Linked DNA regions of Mus musculus: region 2 is reported to be linked to region 1. Evidence: microRNA targets listed by miRTarBase, many of them from high-throughput screens and not tested one by one. Region 1 holds a microRNA gene; the other region holds the end of a gene's coding sequence.
Evidence for each region. The annotated mature microRNA mmu-miR-7a-1-3p reads CAACAAAUCACAGUCUGCCAUA and lies in region 1 at 1,305-1,326, opposite strand. An mRNA with a match to its seed (bases 2 to 7 or 8) in the 3' UTR can be bound and repressed. Matches are read on the target gene's strand: a 7mer-m8 pairs with bases 2 to 8, a 7mer-A1 pairs with bases 2 to 7 and ends in A, and an 8mer does both.

Region 1 (4,000 bases):
TAGGTGAGAAATTATCTAACAAAAATAACCAGGATTTATTCAGCATCAGCCACTTCCATAACCAAGTTTACTCTGGTTAATAAAGCTCATTGCCCATCAGGCTTCTGGCATATACTTAAGATGCGTAACTCTTGTAGTATTGCTCCCCACCGCAGTTCTCCACAACTAACAGAAAACTGTTGAAAAGTAGTGGCAAACATTTGCAAAAACAAACAAAATCCCAAGCTTATTATAAGCATGAATATGTGATGGAAATTTATCAAGCCAAGTCTTTCCAACCATTAAGAAGTCACCCAAACTGAGTTTGCCAATGTATTTTGTCTATGTCCAAGAGGTGCACTTATATCCAACAGAGGAGCTGCTGAAAATCAAACTTAGTGTTTAGTTTAGGGGTGGGCTGGAAAATTCAACCACCATTTGAAATTGTCTTAAAAAAAAAAAAGACCACCAAAAATAGATTCACTAAATTTATTTTAAAAATCATAAAACGTTTCTTACAAAAGAGCATTACATTCTGCACACTGCTCTGAACAAATGCCAGGGACATGTGGACTATTACTTTCCTCCCTGTCCCACCCCCCAATGTTACAGTGACCACAAAGTAAGGTGTTCACAATAATTACATGGGGGGAATTTTTTTTAAAACCACCAACAATGAACAAAAAATAAAAGTCACTCACTCTGCTGCTGTTTCAAAATTTCAATGTTAGTTTTTGCATGCCCTCCCCCCAACCCTGTTTGTAAGGAACTAAAACATTACATCTGGTGAACAGCAAAGATTTCACTACACCTCAAATGCAGAACACCTATGAAGCAGAGGAATGTTGGCTTTTTAAACAGAAGCAGATAAAAAAAAAAAGATGCAGGACTCCTTCAGTTCTTCACTAGTCTTAGAAAAACTTTCCAGAATACTGCTTCACACTATAAAAAAGAAAAAATATCTTGCATTAGAATCCTTCAACATCTGCATACTGCTTCACACTATAAAAGAAAAGAAAAAAAAAGTACGAATTAGAATTTTTGTTCAAAACATCTTAATCAACATTAAGACAATTTCAATGATAAATTAAAATGATAAACATGTCCATTACAATTAGAAGAACTTTTAAAGAGCAATAGCAACTATAAATTAAAGCAATGTAAAACTCAAGAAAATGTTAATAGACAGTAGTAGTGCAGGGTTAAGAAAATGAAACTGGAAGCTGTTAATACTTGGTAGGAAAGACAAAGGAACATGAGGAAGGTGTGAAATGCTGCGTTTGACAGCACCATCATTATCTGTCCTGTAGAGGTGGCCTGTGCCATATGGCAGACTGTGATTTGTTGTCGTTTTAGTTATCTAAAAACAACAAAATCACTAGTCTTCCACACAGAACTAGGCCAACATCCAATGTCTCTTCTACATTTTCTACAGGCTCTGTATAAATTATTACAAGTGGTGGTTTTGGCAGCAGTTTTCACCAGAGAAATGAGAAGTTTGCTTGGTTAAGGCTTCTTCCAGCAAGATTAGTATTGAATGTCTTCATTTTAGTAAGAAAACAGAAGAAAATTAAGGCAGAGCTATTAATTAGAATATTTAGAAGTTAGATTCCCCAAGTGACGGAAACACCATGGTTTCTAAAAGAAGAATCAATTGGGAAGAAAAGCTTTTTAAAGGTTTTAGTATGTGTACACTAACATAAAGCTAAGGGTCAACTGACCTGTTCTGCAGCAAATACTGTGCGTTCTGTATCTGGTCCTGTGTTCCTGTAATGGTAATGATCCGATCTTCAGATCCTTCTAAAGGTTCATCAATTTTGATTGATGCTCCAGATTCATGACGAATTTGTTTAATCCGCTGACCACCTTTGCCAATAATAGATCCAGCCAACTGAAAAGATTGTAAGTGTTTATGATGACTTGAAAGAAATTTTACTCCCTTTTATCAATGACAAAATGTAATAACTTTATAGTAATTTATTTAGAACGTCAGTCTTAAATTCCTGAAATAAATTTTACATATGTGTATTTTAAGAACCCCAAACTGTCTTCTTTTTGTCACTAAGTATCATTTGATCTAAGGTTCAAAATACCCCCTCCATTAAGTTCTTAAACATTATCTCAATCCTAAACTGGAAGTCTTTGTCCAAGAAGCAGCAACCAATACAAGTAAGTAAATTCCCCGAATTAAAAATACTCTAAATTAAAAATACTTACATCTTTGGGAATAGTTACTTGTGTAGTGATAATAGGTCCGCCAAGATCACCATATGAGCCACGGCCCCCTGCATAAGAATAGTCTGATTTAAATAATGAGCAGCAAGTTCACATAAAAATAAGATTGAAATAATGTTTGATTTCAAAAAGAAGAAACTTACCATATCCAGAACCACCCTAAAAACAAAAGAAAAAAAATTACTTAATATTTCTAAAATATCACAGAGCTTAGAAAAGCAAAGTCCTCCCATACCACCCATACCCAGTTTATCCAGGAAATAAACTGAATCAAGAAATTACAGGGGTAGGGAGGGGAGACCAATTATTATGGACAGTCAAGGTAAATTACCAATATGTACATTATTAACATTATTGATACTCAACCTGTGGTTCATAAGCCATTTGCCATTCTGATGGGCTCCATGTGTCAATTGCAGAATCCCAAGTTTCATCAGCACTGAACCCAACCTGTATTACATACATAAATACCAAACTTTTAGAGGGCTGTGAAAATAATTTCAATTTTAAAAAAGCTCTTAGTACTACAGTCTCACACAAATGTTTGGTTATAAGGTCTCTGAAAACACACATGCCGCCCTTATAAATCAAAATTCTTACCATGCCATCATAGCGGTCTCCAGGCCTTCCTCTTCTGTCATAAGCCATTAGATCTCTGCAAGCACATGTTGCAATGTTTACATGGTCACATTAAAATCACCCCCCCACACACACACACTGCTAAGTGCAGCCTCTTTTATTAATGTTAATGTTTGGATAAAAACTTACCCCCCTCTGGGTGGTGGTGGAGGAGGAAGAGGCAGATTCCGGGCTCTGCTGCCACCCCGGCCACCTCGACCAGGTGGTGGTGGTGGAGGTCCTCGACGAGGGCTCATATCATCATAATCTCTTCTAGAAGGAGGCATGGGACGCCCACCCCGACCAGGAGGCATTCTGTCAAAACCACCTCTTCCCCTCATGGGGAATCCCACAGGTCGTCCTCGGCGGTCATCAAACATCATTGTAAAACCACCATAATCATAGGTCTCATCATAAAAGTTGGGATCATAAGGTTGTGCACGTCCTTTGATGGGAGACTAAAAACAGAAACACAGCACCTTAAAGCCTGAAGAAAAATAGCTCTGGTCCTATCAATTAACCCATCTCAACCATTATTAACTCAAAAGGTAACAGAGGCAGGGACACAATGAAGCAATGATGGAAAGGATTTCTAACATACTGACCGGGGGGCGGGGAGGTGGATGTGGGTCAGAGACAGAAGGATCATTACCCCAGATATCTCTGTAAGAAGTGGGTAACATGGCACTACAGGGACCTTTGAGTAAGGACCAAAGGCACTATATTAAAGGAGGCAATAAAAAACTTGCAGGGAGATGTCAAAATTAATGGTGTGAATACTGTCTTATTTCTGGTAGTTAGATGAAACTGAATGAAATAAAAATATCCCAAAGATACCTCAGATATAAGGTCAAGGATGATCTTGATGCATTCTACAACCCTATCAGGTTTTCCTCCAATAAGAACAACTCTGTCAGTAGAGTGAGGGCAGCACTCCTGGAAAAGCTTGATTGTTGTCTGAGTGTTCTATAACATTTACAAAAGAGAAAACCCATTAGAAGTTGTTAGCACATCAAATAAAATCAAGGCTCCCTAAGTTCAGATATTTGAACCCAATTACTCTCAATACAGAATGTGGTCAACTACACAGGACCTAGAAATGGTGAGAATTTAACAAAACTTAGATTTGTTACTTTAAGACCCAACTAAATAGTGATGAGGGATCTGA
Region 2 (4,533 bases), not on the chromosome of region 1:
ACAAACAAAACACTCCTAGTGTGAATCCCAAAACTACTGATGACGCCACGCCACCATGATACATATTTAAGATTGTCCCCTAAGAATCCAGTTTTCAATATTGTGCAAATTAGTTAAAATAGATATCAGATCAAATACACCTGCAATGTTACTGTCCAAAGGCTGGACTGAATCTAAATGATGGTGATAGATCTCACCAATCCTGAAACAATGCCAAAGGCCCCTGGGGTATATGTAACATTTGTGCAGCTCAGTCTCCATGTAGCCCCTCCCCCAACAACTGGAGGCGAGGCTGTCCCTAAAGCTGTAACCTGACTGTGGTATCTGTTCCCCAACAGGGTTGCCTCATCTGGCCTCAGTGGGAGCGAATGTGCTTGCTTTGGCAGAGACTTGATGCACTGGGGGGCGGGGGGGGGTATTTAAGGGGCTCCCGCCCTCTCAGAGGAGAAAGGAGGGGGGATGGGGAAGGACCGCTGGGAGTGGGGACAGTAATTGGGATGTAGATAAAAATAAAAAATAAATTGGTAAGTTTCTAAATAGATATTTTCTCCACTAAATGAAATAATTGGAGTTTGTTGTATGTCAAACTAACATCTAGAAGGAACACTATGAAACTGATGCTCCATTCAAGCCAATCGGGTGGTGGATTTTAGTTGTTACATTGTGGATGTTTAGTTGTTCCATTGCCTGCCTTGGTAAGGAACTCGAGGTCCAGTGCTCTAATGTATAACCGTTAGGAAATAAATGACTAGATGCAGCTCAGATTTTAATGATGCCACACCCTTCAGCGCATAAGCTGAAGTGTGTCACCTTACTTCACGTATCCCATGCAGTGACTCTGGATGGTAAATGTTATCCTGAGGAACCCCTGTTGGCTCTTCTCACCCCAAATTCTGTGAACACTTTAATTAAGATGGTAGGTGGAGAAAGTCAGTCTGTTAAATATTACTTCCACCAAAGCATGTTTCACAGCAATAAATGAATGACATTTAATATTCGTAACTACTCCACAGTAGTTGATAAATTTAATTCATTTTGCAAAAATAAGTATTTTTCATTTTAAAGATAATTTGTAATCTTATACACATCTTCCAGTTTGTTGAGTCTGTTGCCTCCGTAATACACAACCCCGCCCCCACATGATTTTATATATTTGAGGGCAACTGCACTTGCTCTGGATATTCCCTGCTGTTTTTCTTACCTAATATAGTTGGCTGGTGGCTAATGCTTTTACATATTCATGTGTGCTGTGCTGTCATGCAGTAAGAGTTCAAAATCATTTCACTGTAAAAGCAAGAGGTCCAAGGGCTAGACGTGATCGTAGCACGGCCTGAACTCAGAAAGTCCATTAAGCTAGTCCAACTCCACCATTTCTGCTTCTCCAGGTGTGGTACTGATTCCAGATACTCAGAAAACATCTAGAGGGGTTCTCTCTCCTCTGTATGCAGCACACAGGAATAGAATCAGGCTGACTCGGACCCACAGGACCATGTGCACATGCGCATTTCACAGCCTTCACAAATTCTACCGGAAACTGACACTCTAAAAGATGAACCTGTCATGTATTTTTCTGGGCATTTCTCTCCGATTCAGGTCTGAGAAATCTTTGCCATGGCTAGGTCTCTTTCTTTCTTTCTTTCCTTTCTTTCTTTCTTTCTTTCTTTCTTTCTTTCTTTCTTTCTTTCTTTCTTTCTTTTTTTCTTTTTTTTTTTTTTTGTGGTTTCCAGTATCGGATTGGAAAACACCCAAGCAACTCTCTGAGAGACTCGAGAGACAATCACCTCCTTTCTTACCCTCAAGAACTGATGTGCATGCCGAGTCTGTACAAAAGCCACCTTTCTCCAGCCTCTTTCCCCATGTGTGGCACAGGGGGACCCTGAGCACACAGACGGTCACTATTCCAGTAATGGGGTCATCAAAGGGTGACGGCTTAGCACATCTGCCTGTGGTATACATTGCTAGCTGGCACGTGCACAAACTTCTACATATTTCAGCTATCAAGGGGGATCTTGTCTTACAGATCACAAGTTTATGCTCCCTTGAAGCCAAAGCAAGTGAGGTCTGGGTAAGGTGGAAGCAGCTTTCTCCTGGCTATTAACCCATCACGGCGTTCGGGTCCCTCGCCTACCTCTGGTACCAATTGACCTGCAGGCAGGGCAGGCCTAGATGCTGGCCCACCGCTTCACAATTTATACACATAGGATGTTTCTCAAAGATTATAATATTCTTCCCAGCCTTCAAGACACAGCTCTTGGTTGTCATTTAATATTTCATTCACAATATTCACTCTCTTAAAGCATTAATAACCACACCCACACCATGGTTGGGTGTGAATCCTTAGACGGTTTTTCCTGTTCATCTTAGGGGATAGTGGTCTTGGATTCCACTGTTTGGGGTGTTTTGTTTATACCTATATTAGTCAAGAACACTTGAGAATCCTATGTCTTACCTCAGTTCAATTATACTCAGGAAAAGACACCTACATTACCGAAAAGGAGGGGAAAATCAAGCCAAAAGCCAGTTACTACTTTTTAATTGTTTAACTTTATTACTGTTGCACCATTTATACAATTACATATAATTTCAATGCATCCATTGTACATTTTTTTTATTTTTTTATTTATTTTTTTTCCATTTTTCCAATGGGTGGTGTGTTGGTGTCTGAGACACAGATGGAAGAAAACTGGCGCTGCAGTGAACGCAGACTTCTTTTTTTTTTATTTTTTATTTTTTTTTATTTTCATTTCCACTGACCAATAAACAGAACTACAGGTGCACCCAACCACGGACATGCATTACTCGTCGTGAGAAATCTAGGTAGGCTAAGTATGATGAGAGAATGTTTGTCACTCCCAAAAATATCTGGAGAGGAAAAATGGAGGGTTGGCATTGAGATACATGTGGACAAGCTAAGTGGGCTCCGTCTGAAAGTTGGCATTCATCCACGAACGTTTAAAAAAATACCAAAAAAATTAAGAAAAAGGCTGTAAATTAAAAAGGAAACACAGAAAATACTGCTTTCATAAAGATCTGATTGCCTTGGCACTGGTCCTGTGGGCAGAATCAAACGCCTCCCTCCCCAGCTGCATCGCGGGAGAGATGCTGGGGTTTTTAAGGATGGAGCCTAGGGGACAGCGGTTCAGGGTACAGATGATGTACTTTCAGACAATGATCTCGAAAATCCAGGACTGACTGGTCAAGTTGACTGAAGGTATATTAGATATTTCCCCACAAAAATACTATTTGGATTCTCCCCGCCCCCTCCCTCCCCTGATGGGACACATCCTCTTTATTTTTTTTCTCTTTTCTTTTCTTTTGTTTATTTAATCCCTTGGGCAATACATATCCTCACTTCCAATTTGAAACAAGTTAGTATAGGATAGAGACAGAGAGAGGACAGAGTGAGAAACAGAGAGAGAGAGAGCGTGAGAAGACAGGTCGTTTGCGAGTGGCGTCGGTTCTGGTTGGCTGTCCCGGTTACTCTTTGACGGCCACGCTTTGCTCGGAGCTGGCGGCGGCGGCGGGTGCCTCGGCCTGGGGCTCGGCGGCTGCGGGCGCGGCGGGCGCGGGGGCCTTGGCCGCGGAACTGGGCGCCTCGGAGGCGGCGGGCGTCTCCTTGGACGAGGGCGCGGGCTCCGCGCTGCTAGGTTTAGAGTCTGAAGCCGCCGGGGCCGCGTCGCTTTTCGCCTCGGGGCCGGCGGCGGCGGGAGCCTCAGTCTTTTTGGCCTCGCCCTCCTCCGGGGCCGCGCCGTCGGCCGCGCCCGTGCTCTCGGCGCTCGCTTCGCCGGCCTTGGGGGCCTCGCCGCCCGCAGCGGGCCCGGGCGCGGCCGCCTCCTGCTCGGGCGCCGGCGCGGGCTCGGGCTGCTCCTCCGCGGCGCCCTCGCTCTTCTCGGGCTCGGCCTTGGGCGCCTCCTCCTTGGCCGCCGCTGCCTTGTCGGCCTCCTTCTCCTCTGCCTTGGCCTCGCCGTCCGCCGCGTCCTTGGGCTTCTCCTCCGTGCTCTCCTTGACCTCGGTGGCGTCGGCGGCCGCCTGGGGTTCGCTCTCCTTCGGGGTCCCCTCCTCCTCGGTGCCCGCGCCTTCGGCCTTCTTGTCTTTGTCCTTGGCCTTCTCGTCGTTCACATTGTAGCCCTTCTTCTTCTTGCTCAGCTTGCCTCCCATCTTGGAGTTCTGCAAGGAAGCACAGGGGAGACGAAGGGGAGTTAGGGTCAAAGTAGGCAAAGTGGATGGTGGGAGGCTGCCTGCAGGGCGAGGAGGGCGTCGAGGACCTCGGGCACAGCGGGGAGCAGCCTGGACTTCACGGGCATTCTACCATAATCAGAAGTAACAAAGAACAAAGTAAAGCCCCCGCCGCGAAGCCTGCAGGCCAGCAAGTTGGGGGGTGGGGGAGACAAAGAAATGGTGATCAATGACCCAGCTGCCTATAGGGAGGACAGGCGGCATGGTATTGGTCTTATCTATCTACTTTCAAGCATCCAGGAGGCTTGAACACCTTAGCACAAAATGGCAGGGACAGCCATTTTAGAACTACAACTT

Region 2: miRTarBase lists Basp1 as a target of mmu-miR-7a-1-3p. The part of its 3' UTR that is shown has no 7-base or 8-base seed match.

What each region holds. Positions count from the first base shown.
Region 1 is chr13:58,391,496-58,395,495 of GRCm38, forward strand. It overlaps Mir7-1 (microRNA 7-1), which reads right to left and starts at 1,391; the gene lies at 1,284-1,391. It overlaps Hnrnpk (heterogeneous nuclear ribonucleoprotein K), which reads right to left. Exons shown (of 16, transcript NM_025279.3): 9 at 3,670-3,798; 10 at 2,983-3,290; 11 at 2,815-2,869; 12 at 2,581-2,664; 13 at 2,358-2,373; 14 at 2,197-2,279; 15 at 1,701-1,870; 16 at 1-921. The coding sequence ends at 891.
Region 2 is chr15:25,360,752-25,365,284 of GRCm38, forward strand. Basp1 (brain abundant, membrane attached signal protein 1) reads right to left here. Exons shown (of 2, transcript NM_027395.2): 2 at 2,526-4,167. The coding sequence starts at 4,158. The coding sequence ends at 3,478. Among named protein-coding and RNA genes, the nearest start is that of Gm36555, 31 kb to the left of the region's middle.